3 linked regions of the Macaca mulatta genome follow. The protein of the gene in region 3 binds, or shares a complex with, the protein of the main gene of each other region. Links are inferred from orthologs where the notes say so. Each region holds a gene or a part of one and is shown on either strand. Other genes may lie near its edges.

Region 1 (7,572 bases), on a different chromosome or scaffold from region 3:
CGCGGTGCGGTGCGGAGACTCCATGAGGCCCTGGTGAGTCTTGACTTTTTTCTCCTTAGGTGACTCACTCTTCCACTCCGGAACCCCTCTCCCGGGACCCCACTTCCGGTCTTCATTTATAAGTCCCGCCCCTGAGACCCCTCTCCCCGGAAGTCCCACCTCCCAACCTCTGGGGGCTCCCCCGAACCCCGACTTGATTTTTATTTTTTGTCTCCGACCCCACCCTGTCGCCCAGTTTTCCTGGAAGTCCCACCCCCAGACACGTTCCAAGCCCTACTACGTGAAACCCTTGGTTACTCCTTCCATTCTCCGAAACTCCGCCTCCTAGCAACGATCCTCTGCTAACTCCTGTCAAAAAGCCTATCTCCCAAAAGGGCAAAACCCTGCTCCTCAAAGAACGATTCGAATTTGTTGGAGCCACGCCTCTTCGGGGCTCCGCCCCTCCGAAGCCACGCCCTGTTCGTAATCCGTGTCTGACTGTCCAGAAAGCCTCCCCGCATAGAAGTCTGAAGTTCGCGTCCTGGCGGACCACGCCCCCTTACGAGCTTTGTGGGACCTGGGTCATCAGCTGTAAAGCCTTGTCGTCAATCCCTGAAACTCCACCTGCTTATATTTTCCTGTCCTTTGTCTTTTTTTGGGCTTTGGGATCAGTTTTCCGAGCACTCTCGTGCTCCCCCAGGTGGGAAGTCAAAGTTCCTATCTCTGACTGTGAAGAGTGAGATTAAAGGCAGCCGTTTTCCTTTCTTTCTTTTCTTTCTTTCTTTTTGTTTTTTTTGAGACAGAGTTTCGCTCTTGTTGCCCAGGCTAGAGTGCAATGGTGCGATCTCGACTCACCGCAACCTCCGCCTCCTGGGTTCAAGTGATTCTCCTGCCTCAGCCTCCCGAGTAGCTGGGATTATAGGCGCCCGCCACCACGCCCGGCTAATTTTTGTATTTTTAGTAGAGAGGGGGGTTTCACCATGTTGACTAGGCTAGCCTCGAACTCCTGACCTCAGATGATCCACCCGTCTCAGCCTCCTTAAGTGCTGGGATTACAGGCGTGAGCCACCGCGCCCGGCCCCATTTTCCTCTTTCTTAACCTCCTTCAAGGGTAGAACTATTTGAAGGGGCTGAACTTAGGGTTTGGCACCAGAGGGAGAGAGACTTGCTGTCAGACTCCCAGCCTCATCTCCTGGCCTTCCCTTCCCAGGACCAACTCCATCCCAGAAGTAGCTCTAGGCCTGCCTATCCATAAGTGGATAGGACCATGGATTTGTTGGTGTGTGGCATGTGGGTGTGACAGGAGCAAGTTTTCTACCAGAAAAACGGTGGTTTGGAGTGGGGGTAGATAATAGTGCCCTTTTTGTTGTTTGATTTTTTTCTTTTTTTTTTAAGGGACAGTTCAGTTGCTGCTTCTCTGTCTCTTCCCCTCCCCCTAACCATAGTTCTTGTCTGGGCATTCCTCCTGGCCCCGTTTGCCCAGCCTTCCCTGCTGGAAACATTCCTGAGGCTTTCGCCATTTCCTGCCACTTCCCACCCCTCTCCCCTCCTCCCAGTTGGGCTGAGAAGCCACATACAGCTTTTTCCCTACACCCAATCACCTTGACTTCCAGTAGGCAATCTCTTTTCTCCCCATGCACATTTCAACAGTCATACTTCTTTCTTTTCTTCCAAACGCCCACACCCGTTGGTCTTTCCCTGGCCCTGGATACTGCAGGCTCCCAGAGAACATCATCTCAACAGATGAGGACATCCTAGTGTGTGTTTATGTGTTTTGGGGGTGTGAGGCTATAGTGGAATCCTTTCCTCATTCTCTCTATGCCCGAGAGCTGGCTGGAAAAGAAGTGATAAAATTCCTTCTCAGGATTGGCTGACAGAGTGACAAGGCTCTTCTGGAATGAGCACTAAGGGGAGATTTAAGAGTTAAGCACAGTATCTAACACACTTTAAGTGTTAATGTTGTTAATCAGGATAATTATCTATCTATATTTTAATCCTCTGAAGTAAATCTAAGGGTAATTCCAAGGTGAGCTTGGGTGAATACGTATTTTTTTTTTTTTTTGAGGCAGAGTTTTGCTCTTGTCACCCAGGCTGGAGTGCAATGGCACGATCTCAGCTCACTGCAACCTCCACCTCCTGGGTTCAAGCGATTCTCCTGCCTCAGCCTCCCGAGCTGGGATTACAGGTGCTCACCACCACGCCCAGCTAATTTTTGTAGTTTTAGTAGAGACGGGGTTTCACCATGTTGACCAGGCTGGTCTCAATCTTCTGACTTCAGGTGATCCACCCGCCTCGGCCTCCCAAAGTGCTGGGATTACAGGTGTGAGCCACCTTACCCGGCGGGAATATGTATCTTTAACTTGTTTTTTGTTTTTTGGTCGCTTTCCAGCTTTGCCTATGGCATTCTCCAGAAGAGCAGTGGCAGGAAGCCGTGGGTGGCAGGAATGAGTTTGGGACTGTTCCCTGTGTCCAGCTTCAACCCATCTTCTCCTGACACCACTTTCTCCTGTGCTTACTTGTTTTTTCTCCTGTTCTTATTGACACAGATGTGTCTTCTGATCTCTCTGTCCCTTCCTGGCCTGTCGTTTCTGCTTCTCTTGGAGAACTGTTTCTTCCACCTCCTCCAGCCAGGCTCCTCCCCTGGTGTGAGGGACACTGTGCTGTTTGGTGGGGCTTAGGGTCCTGTAAGAGGAGGGATATGAATTGGGGTGGTTTGGAGTGGGAGTGGGGACCTGATTGCCTCATTCTCACCCTTGACAGTGTGCTGTGTTAACAAGGCCTGTGGAAAGGGGAGAGGACAGTGCTTGGCTATGAGCCATGGGTCTTGGTGTGGTAGATGGCATACATAGAGAACAAGCCGTGACCAGCATGTCCTCTTGTTCCCCTCTTGCCTGGTAGCTTCCTGATGTACCATCCAGGTTGGACTTTATTCCCCTTTTTTCACCAACTTTGCTTCTCCTCTTGACCCTGCTCTGCATCCATTGGGACCACTTCCTTCCCATCCCCACTTCGCTAGCTCCAGTCCACAGCTGTCGTAGCAGAGGATGCTAATGGCCCAGGCTTACTGTATGGGGTAGTGGTTGGGGGTGGCCTGGGCTGGAGGGTGGGGAATTCGAGTGTCCAACCAGAACAGGAAGGGAAATGCTGAGCTCTGAGATCTCCTCCCTTTTCCACCCGCAGCTGCCTCTGTTTCCTCCCTCATTCCCCTCTACTCTAGCCTGGCTTCCTGCCCCCTTTGGCCTGCCTGTGTCCGGTTTCGAGTGACCCAGACCTCCTATCTCCTTTCTTTCCGTCCAACTCCTCCATGCTTCCCTCCCACCCCCACTTTCCTTCTCCCCAGATTACTAGTTGTTTGTGTAGGGCAGGGGAGAGGAGCTTGGATAGCCCTACCCTCTGCTCCAGTCCGAGGTTGGGGCGGGGTGGGGGCTCAGCCCCTCTGAGCCTGTGAGTCAGCACTGTCCTCGTGATTGGTCTCTCCCTTTAGCTCTCCGCCCCTGGGGAGGAGCCAGGCAGCTCTGGGTCCAGCCTGTTCTCTTCTCAGCCAGAGAAGAGGCTCCACGTTGGGCGGGGATGGGGCCCGAAACTGTCTGGGTCTGAGCTGGGGAGCGGAAGCCACTTGTCCCTCTCCCTCCCCAGGACTTCTGTGACTCGTGGGCCACAGAGGTCCGACCAGGCTAAGGGCCTGGGGATACCCCCTGCCTGGCCCCCTTGCCCAAACTGGCAGGGGGGCCAGGCCGGGCAGCAGCCCCTCTCTCACCTCAGCTATGGATCTCCTGCCCCCCAAGCCCAAGTACAATCCACTCCGGAATGAGTCTCTGTCATCGCTGGAGGAGGGGGCTTCAGGGTCCACCCCCCCGGAGGAGCTGCCTTCCCCATCAGCTTCATCCCTGGGGCCCATCCTGCCTCCTCTGCCTGGGGACGATAGTCCCACTACTCTGTGCTCCTTCTTCCCCCGGATGAGCAACCTGAGGCTGGCCAACCCGGCTGGGGGGCGCCCAGGGTCTAAGGGGGAGCCAGGAAGGGCAGCCGATGATGGGGAGGGGATCGTAGGGGCAGCCATGCCAGACTCAGGCCCCCTACCCCTCCTCCAGGACATGAACAAGCTGAGTGGAGGCGGCGGGCGCAGGACTCGGGTGGAAGGGGGCCAGCTGGGGGGCGAGGAGTGGACCCGCCACGGGAGCTTTGTCAATAAGCCCACGCGGGGCTGGCTGCATCCCAACGACAAAGTCATGGGACCCGGGGTTTCCTACTTGGTTCGGGTGAGTGAACATCCTCCTTTCCATTGCCTCCCAGACCCCTCCAGTTCTTCTGCTCACTCCAGCTTGGCTGGAATTCTTTTTTCCTGCTGTTCCCCAACAACCCTGTTTCAGTGTTCTATTTCCTAAACCTTTCCCATCCCTTCCCCAATTCTGTAGCCCTTTCCCTTCCAGCTCTGCCTGGGCCCCCTTCCTTCTTTTGACTCCCCTACCCCCACCCTGCCATGCTTAGCACAATGCCCAGCATGGCAGAAGCTCTTAATAAGTGCTGGAAGGAGTGACTTCTTGATCCTTTCCTCCATTCTCCTCCCGCTTTCTGGAGTTGTTGCTCCATCCCAGTCAGTGCCTGTCAGTCCCCTCCAAACTCTCTCCCCAGTGCGTGAGGTCCTTCTAGCCTGCCTTTTCTTTCTCTGCTCGTTCCCTGTTGTCTTTCACCTTGGTTGTGGGATGTAGACACGGGAAGAGGGCAGAACTTCTTCCTCTTTACTTCTCTTAGGGACCATATGGGCAAAGTCCTAGGGCCCTTTGTGAAGGGACTGGGGTCAGGGAGCGGCTGACCTGCTGTCCTCTCCTCCCTCCCCTTAGTACATGGGCTGTGTGGAGGTCCTTCAGTCAATGCGTGCCCTGGACTTCAACACCCGGACTCAGGTTACCAGGTTAGTGGGGAGGGAGTGGACTGTGGGAGTCCTGGGATTAGTGAGGCCATGGGAAAGGGCGGAGGGGAGTGGGTCACTTGGGTGCTGCTGGTTGGGGCTGATCTTTGGGTAGTAAAGGGGATTGAGAGAAAGCTGGGATAGTGATTCTGCCTCTTACTGAAAGGAGGCCCCTCTGGCCCGGATCCTCCTTACCTGTCCAGCCTTGGGAGTTGTGGGGAAGGTAGCAGAAGCAGCTGGCAGGTGGAGCTGGAGTAGCAAATGGGGTAGATGGAAGGTTGCTGCTGCCTTTGGGAAGGGAATGGGACATTTGGTAGCTGGAAGGGGGTGGGGCTATACCCATTGAGGCCCTAACCCAATCAGCCAGGAAGCGGCCTCTCAGTGTCATCAAATATTAAAGGCCCTTAATTCAATCCACCACGACAAAGAGCCTGGAGTGCCCTGGGAGTCTGGCCTGGCTTTCCCCTCCCCCAGCTCTGTGGCAGCCCCAGTTGAGTGGGAGGCAGGCAGGCAGGCGCTGGGTCTGAGTACCCCTCTTTCCCCAGGGAGGCCATCAGTCTGGTGTGTGAGGCTGTGCCGGGTGCTAAGGGGGCGACAAGGAGGAGAAAGGTACTTGGGGTCCTTGGGGATAGGGATGCTGCTGGGAAATGTGGAGGGACAGTGAGGAGGCAAGTGTGGGGCATGTGGGGAGAGGGCCAGGAGACAAGAGTATGGTTTGTCTGTGCTGGGAACCCTCACCTTCTAAGACCCTGGGCCCTACCTTAGCCCTGTAGCCGCCCGCTCAGCTCTATCCTGGGGAGGAGTAACCTGAAATTTGCTGGAATGCCAATCACTCTCACCGTCTCCACCAGCAGCCTCAACCTCATGGCCGCAGACTGCAAACAGGTTGGTGGAGGTGGGCAGGTGGACCAGAAACACCGATGGGGGTGCTAAGGGGAGATCTAGTTAGGAGGCCAAAAACTAGGAAGAGGGCTTGAGAGCAGAAGACCAGTAGGGAAGGAGGAAATGAGGATATGGGATAAGGAACCCAGAGAATGAGACTGGGGCACCAGGGTTCTGGGCCCTGAGGCTGCCTGACACATGGCATTCCCTTCCTTCTCCATCCCCTCCCCTAATTCTCAGATCATCGCCAACCACCACATGCAATCTATCTCATTTGCATCCGGCGGGGATCCGGTGAGTTGGGGAACAGAGCAAAGGTGGTGGGAGAAGAGCAAGGGGCTAGTGATTGGGAAGACATTGATTAGAGAAGTGGGGGTGCTAGGACTGTGGGGATATCTGAAAAGGACTGGGTTTTAGGGGTCAGGAGTAAAGTGGAACTGTAAAATTTTCTGACTTTCCTCCCCAGGACACAGCCGAGTATGTCGCCTACGTTGCCAAAGACCCTGTGAATCAGAGAGGTGAGGCATGGTGGGGAGCACTGGGTGGGTCTGGCTGTTTGAGGTGAGTAGGACCTGGGGTCATTTGTACCCACTCTAAGTAGATCTAAGTGGGGGTTCCTGCCGAGGAAGATGAGGGCCCCTGTCTGTGCCTCCTCCCAGTGGGCTCAACTCACTGACAGCCTCTGCTGTGCCCTCAGCCTGCCACATTCTGGAGTGTCCCGAAGGGCTTGCCCAGGATGTCATCAGCACCATTGGCCAGGCCTTTGAGTTGCGCTTCAAACAATACCTCAGGAACCCACCCAAACTGGTCACCCCTCATGACAGGTGAGCAAGTGGGGAGAGTGTGGAGCAGCTTTTGAGACCAAGATTGGGAAAGGAGGGCTGTTCTTCCCACACTTGAGCTGAGAGGTTCAGGGAGGGAATAACCTGTGTGCCTCTGCTTCCCACTTCCTGCTATTCTTCTGTTTCCTGTGGCCCAGGAGGAAAGGCTTTTGAGGCCCTGCTTGCCGCAGGGCCAGCTTTTCTTGTTTGCTCATGGTGGAGCTGTAGTCCAGGGCCTCCAAGTTACATCTCTCTCTGGCTAGGTGGGATTTTCTATTCCCATTCCTCTTTCTTGCTCATTTCTCTGCTTGGCATTCTGTGTTTTCCTGCCTCTAGAAGCCATCAAGACTTTGGGTTTGGGAGGATATCTCTTTTCCCTGAGATTACAATCTTTCCCACCTCAGGCCTTGAGGGATAAGCAGTGGAGCCAGTAGGGATTGGAGGTAAAATCTGGAGCTGGAGCGCCTCCCTGCTGACGCTGACACACACAGACAGACAGACAGACACACACACACACACACACACACACACACACCCCACCCCCCCCCCCCATAGTGCTTCTGGAGCTGGAGCGCCTCCCACAGAGATCAAGAGCAAAAGCATTACTTACTTATTTTGAGACAGAGCCTTGCTCTGTAGCCCAGGCTGGAGTTCAGTGGTGCAATCACAGCTCAATGTAGCCTTCATACCCTGGGCTTGAGTGATCCTCCCACCTTAGCCTCCTGAGTAGATGGGACCACAGGTGCATGCCACCACACGTGGCTGAGTAGTAGTATTTTTATTTTGGTAGAGATAAGGTCTTGCTATGTTGCCCTGGCTGGTCTTGAACTCCTAGGCTCAAACAGCCCTCCCTCCTTGGCCTCTAAAAGTGTTGGGATTATAGGCGTGAGCCATTGCACCTGGCCAAGGGGGACGAGCTTTAAAGTCAAACCTGAATTTAAATCTGAGCTTAGCCGCCTTTTAGTTGTGAGACCTTGGGCA
Region 2 (7,710 bases), about 2.8 Mb from region 3:
GCTTACTGGCTTTTCAGAATCTGAATGCAACTCATTCTGTATTCACTGCTTCCCAGTAAAACTGTGATCTCTGAGAGAACAGGGAGTGATTCTTATATCCCCCCCGCAGCACTCAGTGTATCTCGCGCTTAATACATGGTAAACATTTTGATTATATGTTCAAGAATATGAGCAAAGTGGCCAGGTGCAATGGCTCATGCCTATAATCCCAGCACTTTGGGAGGCCAAGGCGGGAGGATCTCTTGAGCTCAGGAATTCGAGGTCAACCTGGGTAACATAGCAAGACCCCATCTCTACAAAAAAAACTAAAAATTAGCTGGGCGTGGTGGCACAAGCCTGTGGTCTCAGCTATTCATGAGGCTGATGTGGGAGGATTGCTTGAGCCCAGGGGTCAAGTCTGTAGTGAGCCATGATCAGGTCACTGCACTGCAGCCTGGGTGACAGAGCGAGACCCTGTCTCAAAAATAAAAAGAATATGAGCCAAGTACAACACCATTAACTGAGGATTGTGCATCAGAATTGAGCCAAAAAAAAAGTTCAAAAATGCGTTTTTTGGTTTGTGGTTTGTGTGTTTTTTTTGAGATGGAGTTTCACTCTTGTTGCCCAGGCTGAAGTGCGATGGCGCAATCGTGGCTGACCGCAACCTCCATCTCCTGGGTTCAAGCAATTCTCCTTCTCAGCCTCCCAAGCAGCTGAGATTCTAGGTGTGCACCACCACGCCCAGCTAATTTTTGTATTTTTAGTAGAGACAGGATTTCGCCATGTTGGCCAGGCTGGTCTCGAACTCCTGGCCTCAAGCAATCTGCCCACTTTGGCCTCCCAAAGTGTTGGGATTACAGCTGTAAGCCACCATGCCCAGCAAAAAATAAAAATAAATAAATTGTTTTTAAGGCATAGTCTTTCTCTTGCCCAGGCTGGAGTGGAGTGGCAAAATCATAGCTCACTGTAACCTAAAATTCCTGGGCTCGAGTGATTCTCCTGCCTCAGCCTCCTCAGTAGCTGGAACTACAGGTGTGCACTACCATGCCTGGCTAATTTTAATTTTTCTGTAGACACAGGGTCTCACTATGTTGCCCAGGCTGGTCCCAAACACCTGGCTTCAAGCAATCCTCACTTTGGCCTCCCAAAGTGCTGGGATTACAGGCGTGAGCCACCACACCTGGCCTAAAAATCTTTATAATTTTCTTTTCCTCTCTTTTTTTTTTTTTTTTTTTTTTGACAGAGTCTCACTCTGTCGCCCAGGCTGGAGTGCAGTGGCATGATCTCGACTCACTGCCACCTCTGCTTCACAGGCTCAAGCAATTCTCTTGCCTCAGCCTCCCAAGTAGCTGGGATTACAGGCATGCACCACCACGCCCAGCTAATTTTTGTATTTTTAGTAGAGACGGGGTTTCACTATATTGGCCAGGCTGGTCTCGAACTCCTGATCCACCCACTCGGCCTCCCAGAGTGCTGGGATTACAGGCATGAGCCACCGTGCCTGGCTAAAATCTTTATGATTTTCCATCTCCCATGGATTAAAGTTCAGATTCCTTAATACAGTATTCAAGGACCTTCAGTAATTAGAACCCCCAAGCTTTCCTTTCCCACCTTGCACCTCAGTCCACCCCTTTAAGCACTCTGCTATGCTGAGTCAACTACTTGTCCTTCCCCACCTCTGTGTTCCTTTGCTGCTCTCATGTATTCTCTATGCCTAAAAACCCTTTCATTCTCTAACAAAAGGCAACTTGAACATGAGTTCAAGTGCAACCCATGTTTGAATCTTAGTTTTGCCATTCGTTGGCTGTGTAAATGTGGGCAATTCACCTAAAACTCTTGTGCCGCAGTTTTGTGTTTATAAAATGGGCATTAATAGTACTTATTTCCTAGGGTTGTCATGAGGAACAATGATAGATGACTTTGATAATCTGTATATTTTTCAAGGTATGCTTTACTGTCTCTGCTGCGGTTATGTGTGTTCATGTCTTTTTTTTTTTTTTTTTTTTTTTTTTTTTGAGACAGAGTGTCGCTCTGTCGCCCAGGCTGGAGTGCAGTGGCCGGATCTCAGCTCACTGCAAGCTCCACCTCCCGGGTTCACGCCATTCTCCTGCCTCAGCCTCCTGAGGAGCTGGGACTACAGGCGCCCGCCACCTCGCCCGGCTAGTTTTTTGTATTTTTAGTAGAGACGGGGTTTCACCGTGTTAGCCAGGATGGTCTCGATCTCCTGACCTCGTGATCCGCCCGTCTCGGCCTCCCAAAGTGCTGGGATTACAGGCTTGAGCCACCGTGCCCAGCCGTGTGTTCATGTCTTAACTCTTTCTGGGCTGTTTGTTAAGGCTCCTTGATGGCTATCTTTGGAGTTTTTAAAATATTTTATTTTTTATAGTTTTAAAATAGAGACGAGGTCTCACTGTATTGCCTAGGCTAGTCTCAAATACCTGAGCTCAAGCCATCCTCCTTCCTCAGCCTCCCAAAGTGCTGGGATTACAGGCGTGAGCCACTGTATCTGGCCTGATGGTTATCTTTGTATCCTTTATCAACACAGTGCTTTGAACAGAGTAAATACTTATTGAAAACTTGAGTGAAATGTGACTTAATATTTGGCCTCACAGAATACACCAGTAATACAGCACTCACTCACCTGAGGACAGTGGGAGAATAGAAGGTAAGTAGAAGACTGGGTTAAGTATTCATTCTAGCAAATACATTAATCACATGCCTCCCGTGTACTTGACACTGGGAATTCAGCAATGAAGAAGGCTCAGACCAAAGTCTAGGCTTTTAGCTTCCTGTCCTATAAAGGATAAGATTCTTAGCTCTATGCTGAGGTAGTAAATTATGAGGGGACTTCAAAATGGCACAGGGTGGTTGAGCAGGATACAGCAATGGTTAAGTTTGGTCGGAAAATAGAAATCAAAAGGAAAATGTGGCTATGGTTACCCCTAGCAAACCTCTTGAATCTCCTTCCTGAGAACCTGCTTTTTTGGGAAGGCACGAGTGCCAGTAAGACTTGGCACTCCTCCTCTTCCGCTTACCCAGAGAAAATGACAGCCTTTCTGCTCAAAACTCATCCCTTCACTTTGTCACCCTATATTTGCATCTTCCATCCTTAGTGTGTGTTTCCGTCCAGTCGTTCGGCAATACACGTACTACATGTTGGACTCTTGGGTAGTCTCTAGGGCTGTAGCAAGGAGCCTTGCTCCCAAGGGACTCATTTACATAATCCTGTGAACAGACCATGAGTAAACAGTGTGCTCAATACTGTGCCTATGTGTGTTAGCCCATGCGGCCAGCCTGAGGAGTCAGGGAAGGCTCCCCTAGGCAAAGACCCCAACCAGAATCAAGTCTTAATGGTTAGACAAGAGCTCCGTCACCCAAAAAGGATTGAGGGCCTACCTTCAACTGAACAGCTAATGCATAATCTCAGAACCTGTGAGTCAAAATTCCCTGGAATAACTCCACTTTATCCCCAATATCCTTGCCACCTAGACCAAGGTCCGTTCACCACCCTGTCCCCAGCACTGACTGCACTGCTGTGGCCACACTAAAACTTGGCTCAAGACAGACAAGTGAGGAAGCTGCTGCGCCAGTATGGCTGGTTGAGGCCGCCCAAGGTCCTAGGAGGAAGCGGGTAAATGCCATATCCAAAAAGACACAGCAGCCTCAGGTTTTATCAGAGGGCAGCAGCTTCCTTCTCCTTCCCCAACCTCTGGCTAAGTCACAAAGCACCACAGCTGTACAACCAGATGGGGGAAGGGAGGAGATTAGAACTGTAGGCTAGAGTAGACAGGTATGGACCAGTTCACAATCACGGTATCCCAAGCAGAAAGTGATGGTGGCTTGGACTAGCATGGTGGTATTAGAGATGGGGTAAAGATTCAAGAGACATCGTTGATAGGCAGAACCAATAGGACTTGGTAATAAACTATTCTCAGGAAAAGGGAGGACTCATGGCTTTCAGCTATGAGCATCCAGCCATGAGCATGGCCTCACCCACTTCCTGACAATTCTAGCCACCATGAGTCCAGGGGCTATAGCCCTTTGCTCTGCCCATTGCTCAGCAAGTTACTTGGGGTTGCAGTTTGATAAGAAAAGACTTCCTGTGGAGGAATCTGAAGGGAAGAAGGAGGAGCTGGTCCATTCCTGCCTGGGAGGTTGTGGAAGAAGGAAGATGGCCAGAGCTTTGTGTCCACTGCAAGCCCTCTGGCTTCTGGAGTGGGTGCTGCTGCTCTTGGGACCTTGTGCTGCCCCTCCAGCCTGGGCCTTGAACCTGGACCCAGTGCATCTCACCTTCTATGCAGGCCCCAATGGCAGCCACTTTGGGTTTTCACTGGACTTCCACAAGGACAGCCATGGGAGGTGAGCTATGAGGGAAGTTTGGGTATTGGGAAAGAGCAGGACCCTTCCCCATCACTGCTTCTGGGGGCTTCAAGTTTCCCATTTGTTATGGCAGTTGAGCAAGGTGACTTGTGGGGCCTATTCAGGTTGATTTCTTGTCAAGAATGCTGAGGTCTGGGGGACTGGCTCAGGTGAAGGTGTAAGGGCAGGGCACAGGTGTGGGTGATGGGCACTGAAACTATAGCAAGAACCAAGGGAAGACAAGAGTTGATGCTTTATTTTTTCCCCAAGGGTCAGTTGTATGAACCACACCACCCTCAACACCTTGAAATGTGGAGAGGAGGCTGGGCATGGTGACTCACGCCTGTAATCCCAGCATTTTGGGAGGCCAAGGCGGGTGGATCACCTGAGGTCGAGAGTTCAAGACCAGCCTGACCAACATGGAGAGACCTCGTCTCTACTAAAAAAAGAAAAAAAAAAAAATTAGCTGGGCATGGTGGCACATTCCTGTAATCCCAGTTGCTCGGGAGGCTGAGGCAGGAGAATCATTTGAACCTGAGAGGCAGAGGTTGTGGTGAGCTGAGATCGCGCCATTGCACTCCAGCCTAGGCGAAACTCTGTCTCAAAAAAAAGAAAGAAAGAAAGAAACGTGGAGAGGAGCACATGTCCTAAAATTGATTTGCAGAACTAAAGTTGTCTACCCTCCCCAATCTTGCATTTCTATTCCATTTCCCTCATCTCCACCAACATTATAAATTTTTGAAAAGAAGCAATAGGTCATTAATGGTTAGTATTGATCAGGCTTCAGAATCAAGAGTGCCCAAGATTAGAGTCTTGGCTCCTCTTCATAGTGTGTACCCTGAGCTACTTACCGTGAGAGACACAGTGCCCACCAGCTTCAGGGGGTGGCAATGGGTGGCAATGGCAGATAGCCTTCAAGTGTCAGCCACTTAGGGGATCTCCCCTGCTGAAGACAGCCAGTTCACTCAAAGTCCCCTCCCAAGGTGGCCCACATCCAGTGACTGAACAATGAGAAGTGGGCGAGTGGGGAGAGTGGAGGCGGGGGGTGGGGAGGCATTTGATAAGGGTCCAGCCCTCTTTCCCTCTTTCATCAACTCTAACAATTCTTTTTTTTTCTTTTCTTTTTTTTTTTTTTTTTTTTTTTTTGAGACGGGGTTTGGCTCTTGTTGCCCAGGCTGGAGTACGATAGTGCAATCTCCGGCTCACCACAACCTCCACCTTCCAGGTTCAAGCGATTCTCTTGCCTCAGCCTCCCGAGTAGCTGGGATTACAGGCATGTGCCACCACACCCGGTTAATTTTGTATTTTTAGTAGAGATGGGGTTTCTGTCAGGGTAGTCTCGAACTCCCAACCTCAGGTGATCCGCCTGCCTTGGCCTCCCAAAGTGCTGGGATTACAGGCATGAGCCACCACGCCGGGCCTTTTTTTTCTTGTTTTCTTTTGAGACAGAATTTTGCTCTTGTTGCCCAGGCTGGAGTGCAATGGCATGATCCCAGCTCACTGCAACCTCCGCCTCCTGGGTTCAAACGATTTTCCTGTCTCAGCCTCCCGAGTAGCTGGGATTACAGGTGCATGCCACCATGCCTGGCTAATTTTTGTATTTTTAGTAGAGACGGGGTTTCACTATGTTAGCCAGGCTGGTCTCGAACTCCTGACCTCAGGTGATTCGCCCGCCTCAGCCTCCCAAAGTGCTGGGATTACAGGTGTGAGCCACCGCGCCCGGCCAACTCTGACAATTTTGAAAGGTCATTCTAGCTCCAGAGCTTGTGGGTGTTGGCGAATGCTGTCATTGGGCCTGAATCAGCTCAACTCCTTCCTGTGCCCACTCCTGCTTATCTCTCCTCCTATAAGTAGTGATCCCATTGGCACTACTTAAACATTCTGCGGTTAAAAAAAATTATAGACCAGACACAGAGGCTCACGCCTGTAATCCCTTAGCCTCCCAAAGTGCTGGGATTACAGGTGTGAGCCACCATGACTGGCCTATAAAAAAATGTTTTTTGGCCGGGCGCGGTGGCTCAAGCCTGTAATCCCAGCACTTTGGGAGGCCGAGACGGGTGGATCACGAGGTCAGGAGATCGAGACCATCCTGGCTAACACGGTGAAACCCCGTCTCTACTAAAAAATACAAAAAACTAGCCGGGTGAGGTGGCGGGCGCCTGTAGTCCCAGCTACTAGGGAGGCTGAGGCAGGAGAATGACTTTAACCTGGGAGGCGGAGCTTGCAGTGAGCTGAGATCCGGCCACTGCATTCCAGCCTGGGCAACAGAGCGAGACTCCGTCTCAAAAAAAAAAAAAAAAGTTTTTTAATTAGCTAGGCATGGTGTTGCACACCCACAGTTCCAGCTACTCGGGTGGCTGAGGGGAGAGGATTTCTTGAGCCCTGAAGATCAAGGCTACAGTGAGCTGTGATCGTGCTACTGCACTCCAGCTGGGCAACAGAATGAGACCCGGTCTCAAAACAACAAAATTATTTTTTAAAATTATAGCATTGTTTCAAGAGCATTTGTTATGTATTTGGCTGGGACCATGCTAACCATTACTCGTATTTATTACATTTACTCCTGACCGTTTTGATTGGTTGTGAAAAAGTCATTGGTTGTGAAATTGGTATTCCTATTTCACAAATGGCAGAATTGTGATTTAAACCTAGATCTGCTAGGGTCCTCATCTCTATCAGCACACACACTCCAGCCCCACTTCAGAGGTACCTTCTACCTTCCCTCATTAAAACCAGCTCTCAAGAGGGGATCTGGGCCCGGCGCGATGGCTCACGCCTGTAATCCCAGCACTTTGGGGGGCCAAGGCGGGCGGATCACGAGGTCAGAAGATTGAGACCATCCTGGCTAACATGGTGAAACCCCGTCTCTGCTAAAAATACAAAAAATTAGCCGGGCGTGGTGGCGGGCGCCTGTAGTCCCAGCTACTCGGGAGGCTGAGGCAGGAGAATGGCGTGAACCCGGGAGGCGGAGCTTGCAGTGAGCCGAGATCGCGCCACTGCACTCCAGCCTGGGCGACAGAGGGAGACTACGAGACTGCATCTCAAAAAAAAAAAGAAAAAAAAAAAAAAAGAGGGGATCTGGTAACAGTCAAGACAGGCATTCTAGGGAGCACGTGAACCTCTGGTTCTTGTTATGGGTGGAAGGATGGAGATGTTGTACAGAATTTAGGTCTTTTTCAGCAAAGATCTCAAACCCCTTATAGTCCCAGCTTTACTCTCAACTCACTGGGTTACTTTACGCACGTGATTGCCCGCGCTGAGAGTCAGTTTCACTGTCCATAAGATGAAGTACACCTCGATGGTCTGTGAGGTGTCATTGAGGACAGATGGTCCGGTGCCCCCATGCCACATCGCCTTCCGGGCAGTGCTCCC
Region 3 (6,976 bases):
CAAAAATTCACTGAGTGTGGTGGCTTGTGCCTGTGGTCCCAGCTACTTGTGGGGCTGAGGCAGAAAGATCTCTTGAGCCCAGTAGTCTGAGGCTGCAGTGAGCTGTGATCTTGCCACCACACTCCCGCCTGAATTGCAGAGCAAGAACCACCACTGCTTTTTTTTTGTTTTATTTTGATACAGAGTCTTGCTGTGTTGCCCAGCTGGGGCGCAGTAGTGCAATCTTGGCTCACTGTAGCCTTCACCACCTCAGTCTCCTGAGTAGCTGGGACCACAGGCATGAACTACCATGCCCGGCTAATTTTTGAAAACAGGGTCTTGCTAGGTTGCCCAGGCTGGTCTCGAACTCCTTGGCTTAAGCAGTCTGCCCCCCTAAGCCTCCCAAAGTGCTGGGATTACAGGCGTGAGCCATTGCTCCTAGTGGGGACCCCTTCTCAGAGAGAGAGAGAGAGAGAAAGAGAGAAAGAGGGGAAAGATCATCAAAGACATGGTGAACAGGTCCTACGAGGAAAGATTAAAAGGCCAGAGTCATTCAGCTTGAAAGAAAGAAGGCTAAAGGATGATTTAGCTTATACATGAGAACACGTCTTATAAGTTGTTTTATATCACCATAGTAGGTTAAACAAGAGCAAAATATTTAAATTGAATCAGGAGAAATTACTATAAACCATAAGAGAAATGTGCTGTAATGCTCTAGGTATCTGGGGCAGGTGTGAACTCTTCATCTCCTAAGGACAATATAGCAACTTCCTTATCTAGGTGGCTTAAAGGTATACCTGTGTAAAGGCAGGAGACTGAGCTGAGGATCTAATGAGCTCCCTGCAAGGTCTAGGATCCCATGGACATGTTCACAATTCACCACCCCACCCACACAGTGTCCTGGAGTTCCTTGGTGTCAGCCATATCCAAGTCAAGCACTACCAGGCAATGAGTCAGCAACCTTTGACACCTAATCTATGCAAGGCACTGGGCCAGGGGCTGAGGGAGGTAACAAGACTATGTATGGTTCTATCCTTACAGAGTTTTTGGTCTAGTTGAGGAGAAAGGATATATATATATTTACAATAACACAAGATGCATGATTAGTGCTAAATGGGTGTGGCAAAGCCAAAGTGGGCTATACGTATCCAAGGGAGGAAAGCTCATCATGAGCTGGAAGGAGGTCTCTTGAAGGAAGTCTCTTGAAGGAGGTGGGGCCTAAGCTGGGCCCTAAGAAAGGAGGAGGATTACCAACAAGAAGGCAACTCCAGGTGGGAGACAGTGGACCAGATCACTGCTGAGTGGAAGAGGGAGAGAGGTGAGTAATATTTGGAAAGAAAGACTGAGACCACACGGTGGAGGATCATGAGGGCCAGGCCAAGGCATCGGTCAGTAGTTCCAAAACAGAGGCCTAACCCAGTGCCTTGTGCAGGGAAGCAGCTCCATTGTATTAGTGCATTAAATTCAAGCAGGAAGAAAGAGGTGCTTAGTTTTGACATCACTGGCCTGCACCTCTTTGTCTATCCCTGGAGTTCACAAGTAGACTTCTGTGCTACTTACCCTTCTTGTCTCACTGTACCCCCCGCCCCCCACTCTTTTTTTAGTTTTAGAGACAGAGTCTTGCTCTGCTGCCTGGGCTGGAGTACAGTGGTTCAATCATAGCTCACTGTAACCTCCAACTCCTGGGCTGAAGCGATCCTCCTGCCTCAGCTTACCCAGTAGCTAGGACTGTAGGCACTTACCACCACATCTGGCAAATTAAATTTTTTTTTTTTTTGTAGAGATGGGGCCTTGCTATGTTGCCCAGGCTCTTGTCTCACTTTCAGCATGAAGTGAAAAGGTTTAAGCACCACAACTCTCTGAGCCACAGCCCAAGCAAGATAAGTTCTAAGGTTTAGACCCTAGGGATGTACATGGCACTTCATTAACTTCTACATCCTTCATTTTTCTAGGATTATCCCTCTTTGGGGCTGATGACTGAGAAGCTCTCCCAGAAAAACATCAATTTGATCTTTGCAGTGACTGAAAATGTAGTCAATCTCTATCAGGTGACTGTGCCTTCGGGCTTCCTGGAGTGGGCCCTGTGATGGTGGGAGCCCCAGGTAGCCAGCCTGTGCTAGCGTTGGCCATAGTCCCCAACCAGGAAAGACTCTCCCCTAATCCACTGCCCAGGAGCTAAAGATTGCACTCTGGGCCTTTTTCCTGCAACCTTGAACTTACGAGGTGTGTGCTGGTGTTTGTGGTGATGGAGGGGAGGTGGCAAAGGGTGTGAGAGGCTTCCTCTACTTTTGCTCAGGGCTGAAAAACTGCTAGATATATTCCTGGCAGTGACCACTGAAATATCCCATACCTTCCTCCAATCTTCATCTCAGGACTCTCAGTGGTATTTGAGGAGGGCTTTTGGAGACCACCACCTTCCTTCGGTAAGCTCTGGACATCTTTGTCGTCCTTTCTAGAACTATAGTGAGCTCATCCCAGGGACCACAGTCGGGGTTCTGTCCATGGATTCCAGCAATGTCCTCCAGCTCATTGTTGATGCTTATGGGGTAAGTGTCTTGTGCTGGGAATAGTCCTGCGGAGAGTCCACCTCATTTGGCTTACACAGCAGGGCTCAGGTTTGTGAGTCCCAGGTGCCAGTCTACCACACGATCTTACTGCCTTCTCCGTGTGCTCCCAGAGGCCAGGCAGTGGTCTGCTCTAGAAGGGATGCAGCCTTCTGAGAAGGAAGTAGCCCAGAAAGAAAGAAAGAAAGGGGATGGGGATGGGGATGGTGATTAGTTGGAGAAGGAGCAGAGCCCTGGAATTGGGGCAGAGTGAGGGAAAACTGGGCTCCAATAACAGGGAAAAGAGAGAGCTGAGACATGGGGAAGGTGAGGTTGATGAAACATTAGGTAGAAAATGCTGCTTTCCAAGGTGACCAGTACTCCCCTTTCGCAACATCTGTGAGGCCTGCGGGAGGGTGTAGCTGGTACATTTTACCCAGACTCACCTAGACGCAAGTGGAGATGGAAAGAGGGAGCAGGTTCCTGTGCAGGAAACAGAGGAGGAAACAGAGTCCTAGGGGTGCTCCGGCAGCTTCCAGGTCAAACCTTGGCCTCTGGCACTGCTGGGGTAAGTCCAGAGCTACTTGGCAGATTTGGTTTGGGATGGAACTGGCTCTTGCCATTTCCCATTTCCTTTCAGTTCATTTTCTTGTCTTCTTGTGCCCCTTTGTGCTCAGAAAATCCGCTCTAAAGTCGAGCTGGAAGTGCGTGACCTCCCTGAAGAATTGTCTCTATCCTTCAACGCCACCTGCCTCAACAATGAGGTCATCCCTGGCCTCAAGTCTTGTATGGGACTCAAGATTGGAGACACGGTGAGATGGGCTGGGCAGGGCCTTTGTACTGGAGCATCTGTGAGCACCCAACCCCCTTTCTTCTTTTTGTAATGACTAAAAATGGCCCCCTTCCGCCAGAAAAAATATGGGCAGGAAAAATACCTTTCCTGAAAGTCATTTCAAGTTAGATGTAATGGATCCACCAATCTTTTCCTCTGGGGCTTCTGTTGCGTAAGCTATTTCTGTTACGTGAACTTAACTCTTAGGAATTTAAAAAACTTACAATTTGGTTACCTTTGTTTGTGTATGCACAGTTGATTGCAAAGGAAAATATTTCTTTACCTTCAGTCCCTCACCAGTCTCCAGCTTTCCCAAGGTAATTAATACCTTTCTTTTGTAAAATGACACAGGAAAGTAAAATCTAAAATGTAAAACGACGACATCATCTATAAATATTTATTGAGCACTGACATTGTGTCAGGCATTGTTCTAGTTGCCGAGAATTTAGCAGCAAATGGAACAGGCAAGAGTACCTACCCTCATGGAATTTTTGAAGCCAGATGTTCATTTCACCATCCAGTCCCTCCACGACTTTCCTTATCGGTCGTTTCTCCTCTGCTTCTGCCTAAGGGGAGAGGAGTTGGTGGGAGGGGAGGAAGGAGGGGAAGAAAATAGATCTTTGGATGCAGTGATCCTTTCTCTTAATCTATCTATCTTTCAGGCACTTGTGCAAGCATCCCATGTTAGAAATATTGTCCTGAAACATGCTTTATTGCATAAACTATAAAATGTGTGGAAATTGAAGTAGATCCTGAGCTTATGGTTGACCACTATGTGGGATTGTGTGGTGCAAAACAGTGCTTTGTGCATCTTGCTGATAATTATAATCAGTCCAGCTTGCTTAGCTGGCCAGAGCAGGGTGTTTATATGATCACAGGTTCTGTTCAGTTTCAGCTGGTCTATTTCACACGTGAAGTAAAAAAACAGCCTTTTATTATTTATTGACTGTAGACCATGTCTCTGCATCCAGCTACATATGTCACAATGATACTATTCCCGTGCTTGTGTTTTTGCTTTGCAGACCTTCACAGAGGTGGAGGTCTGTGGAACCTGTGGAAGGTTTGCTTTGCAGACCTTCCACAAAGCCTGAGGAACTCCATATTGCAAAAGCATAAGACACCCAATTTGGGTATTCCTTGGCAGGGCAGGGAACAACTTTTTTTTCCCTCCAGAGCTGGAGTGTTAACTGGGCCCAACTGTGTCTAAATACAATCTTGCTTTCCATCCAGGTGAGCTTCAGCATTGAGGCCAAGGTGCGAGGCTGCCCCCAGGAGAAGGAGAAGTCCTTTACCATCAAGCCCGTGGGCTTCAAGGACAGCCTGATCGTCCAGGTCACCTTTGATTGCGACTGTGCCTGCCAGGCCCAAGCTGAACCTAATAGCCGTCACTGCAACAATGGCAATGGGACCTTTGAGTGTGGGGTGTGCCGTTGTGGGCCTGGCTGGCTGGGATCCCAGTGTGAGTGCTCAGAGGAGGACTATCGCCCTTCCCAGCAGGACGAGTGCAGCCCCCGGGAGGGTCAGCCCGTCTGCAGCCAGCGGGGCGAGTGTCTCTGTGGTCAATGTGTCTGCCACAGCAGTGACTTTGGCAAGATCACGGGCAAGTACTGCGAGTGTGATGACTTCTCCTGTGTCCGCTACAAGGGGGAGATGTGCTCAGGTGAGGAGAACTGCACGGCCCCCTGTCCTGGAACCCACAACCCCTCATACATTTGCAACCCCTGGAAACATAGGCAAAGGCCTGAGATAGGTCTTTGCAGGCAGAGGTGTAACTCAGTGGTTCCCAATCTTTTTGAGTATAAGGACCAATCCACTTTTCAGGTTAAAAAAAAAAGTTACTGATAGATAGCAATTAAATTTTTACTATTTATAGACTTAGAAAACACATGTCAGAATATGTAGTAAGGTTAGTAATAATTTTACATGAGTTTATCTTTGTATCACAAGAGACCTGGAAAATAGTAGTATATATGCAAGGCATTGGAGCGTGCTTGAACAATGTCTGGAAAATGGTGTAATGCTCTTGTTAATGTTAGCACTATTTTGTTATCACTATTACTACTGTTGGTACTACTGTTATTTTTTGGATTCTAGATCTTTGCTATCCAATATGGTAGCCTTTAGACACATGTGGTTATTTAAATTAGCCAAAATCAAAAAATTAAAAATTCAGTTTTTCAGCTGATCCGTGGCCACATGTAGCTAGTGGCTGCTATATTGGACAGCATAGATCTAGAACATTTCAACGTGACAGAAAGTTCTCTTGGCTAGCACTGCCACAGAGAGTCCCTGCCGACAGATTGGGGATTATGATTTTGAGTCCTTCTACTCAGCAGGGTGCTGAGTTGTCATTCTCATTGCAAAATTCAGTAAAATATTGAGGCCCACTGATAATCTCAAACTAGTTTCTCCTTGCCCCAAGAACCACTCCTGGGGTACTTCTCCCGCTAGAAGTTGAACTAACGTTAATGTAGTCTTTATCTGCAGATATGTTGACAACACTCTCAGAGGGCAAATAGTCTGAGTTGTTCCTGGGGCACTGAGGATGGGTTTTTACTGGGCCATAATCACTGTGGTTTAATCCCTCTTGCGACAGACACTTGCAAGTTGGTTGGGACTGGGTTACGGGTGTATTGTGTGGCCAAACAGAGACATTATAATTGTTTTCTGGGGTGACCCTTGACTCAGATTGGCTTCATTGGCATTGGGTTCTTTTTTTTTTGAGAGAGAGTCTTGCTCTACTGCCAGGCTGGAGTGCAGTGGTGCGATCTCGGCTCACTGCAACCTCTGCCTCCCAGTTCAAGCAATTCTCCTGCCTCAGCCTCCCGAGTAGTTGGGACTATAGACGTGTACCACCACACCCAGCTAATTTTTGTATTTTTAGTAGAGATGAGGTTTCACCACGTTGGCCAGGGTGGTCTCGATTTCTTTACCTCGTGATCCTCCCGCCTGGGCCTCCCAAAGTGCTGGGATTACAGGCGTGAGCCACTGTGCCTGGCCGGCATTGGGGTTCTAATGAGTTGAGCTAATATGCAGATACTCACTTTAATACTGATATTAGCCTTTTAAAAAACTCACTTAGAAAGGTCGATCTGTGTCATTCTAAAGCATGACAGTAACATAAAAATGATTGCTTTTTTATTATCTACAACATTGTTTCCTTTACTTATGCTGATAAAATTTTAGAGAGAGTTTGAGAGGAAGTGTTATCAGAATGATTAGGGTAGAGCAAGAGATCAGATACACATAGATGAAAGCACACAAACAACAACCATTTGAATTAGGGGGTGAGGCAGGAGTTTCACTTCATTTTACTATTTAAAGTATTTACATCTAATTCAAAGTACCAAAGGAAATGGGTAAGTTTGAAGTGGGAGACCCCTGGGAAGAAGGTTGGGGACTGAGGGAGAGAGGGTGGTCCTAGGAGAGGAGTATGGCTGGACCACGGGGGCACCCCCAGTCCTCCTCCATGGCCTGATGGTTCCTGGTCTGGTGTGAGGCACTGCGGCAGGATCCCAGCCAGAGCATGTTTCTTTTGGCTGCTGCCCCACTAAAGCCACAAAACAAAGCTGACTGGGTCAGAAGCCCTGGTTCCTGCCTCTCACTAGTGCAGGAACAGCTC

The links. Proteins that work in one complex are often made in the same cells at the same time.
Region 1: the proteins of ITGB3 (region 3) and SHC1 are in contact, whole or in part, in an NMR structure (PDB 2L1C), measured with the Homo sapiens proteins. The link is inferred for Macaca mulatta from reciprocal best matches to the Homo sapiens genes ITGB3 and SHC1. Residues at the interface, in NP_000203.2 of Homo sapiens: Trp765, Asp766, Thr767, Ala768, Pro771, Leu772, Tyr773, Lys774, Glu775, Ala776, Thr777, Ser778, Thr779, Phe780, Thr781, Asn782, Ile783, Thr784, Tyr785, Arg786, Gly787, Thr788; in NP_892113.4 of Homo sapiens: Ser175, Met176, Arg177, Asn182, Arg184, Thr185, Gln186, Thr188, Arg189, Glu190, Ser193, Leu194, Arg208, Arg209, Lys210, Arg214, Pro215, Leu216, Ser217, Ile219, Met257, Gln258, Ser259, Ile260, Ser261, Phe262, Ala263, Ser264, Gly265, Pro268.
Region 2: the proteins of ITGB3 (region 3) and ITGA2B are in contact, whole or in part, in a cryo-EM structure (PDB 8GCE), measured with the Homo sapiens proteins. The link is inferred for Macaca mulatta from reciprocal best matches to the Homo sapiens genes ITGB3 and ITGA2B. Residues at the interface, in NP_000203.2 of Homo sapiens: Ser188, Pro189, Tyr190, Tyr192, Ile193, Ser194, Pro195, Pro196, Tyr204, Asp205, Met206, Arg242, Asp243, Pro245, Lys279, His281, Ile282, Ala283, Leu284, Asp285, Arg287, Leu288, Ala289, Gly290, Val292, Gln293, Pro294, Asn295, Asp314, Tyr315; in NP_000410.2 of Homo sapiens: Gln49, Phe52, Arg72, Trp141, His143, Asn145, Glu152, Ala153, Glu154, Lys155, Pro157, Arg184, Phe191, Tyr197, Glu199, Phe202, Pro217, Tyr221, Phe222, Phe262, Asp263, Tyr265, Tyr268, Thr290, Trp293, Thr294, Gln315, Met316, Ala317, Tyr319.

The regions. Positions count from the first base shown.
Region 1 is NC_133406.1:112,029,463-112,037,034, forward strand, and holds the start of SHC1 (SHC-transforming protein 1), read left to right. Parts: upstream 1-3,585; 5' UTR 3,586-3,743; coding exon 3,744-4,238; intron 4,239-4,820; coding exon 4,821-4,891; intron 4,892-5,433; coding exon 5,434-5,497; intron 5,498-5,653; coding exon 5,654-5,773; intron 5,774-6,010; coding exon 6,011-6,064; intron 6,065-6,236; coding exon 6,237-6,288; intron 6,289-6,467; coding exon 6,468-6,594; intron 6,595-7,572. UniProt on the Homo sapiens protein: Signaling adapter that couples activated growth factor receptors to signaling pathways. Participates in a signaling cascade initiated by activated KIT and KITLG/SCF.
Region 2 is NC_133421.1:68,763,855-68,771,564, reverse strand, and holds the start of ITGA2B (integrin alpha-IIb), read left to right. Parts: upstream 1-3,723; 5' UTR 3,724-3,997; coding exon 3,998-4,338; intron 4,339-7,710. UniProt on the Homo sapiens protein: Integrin alpha-IIb/beta-3 is a receptor for fibronectin, fibrinogen, plasminogen, prothrombin, thrombospondin and vitronectin. It recognizes the sequence R-G-D in a wide array of ligands.
Region 3 is NC_133421.1:71,569,168-71,576,143, forward strand, and holds part of ITGB3 (integrin beta-3), read left to right. Parts: intron 1-1,931; coding exon 1,932-2,027; intron 2,028-2,435; coding exon 2,436-2,525; intron 2,526-3,199; coding exon 3,200-3,334; intron 3,335-4,584; coding exon 4,585-5,014; intron 5,015-6,976. UniProt on the Homo sapiens protein: Integrin alpha-V/beta-3 (ITGAV:ITGB3) is a receptor for cytotactin, fibronectin, laminin, matrix metalloproteinase-2, osteopontin, osteomodulin, prothrombin, thrombospondin, vitronectin and von Willebrand factor.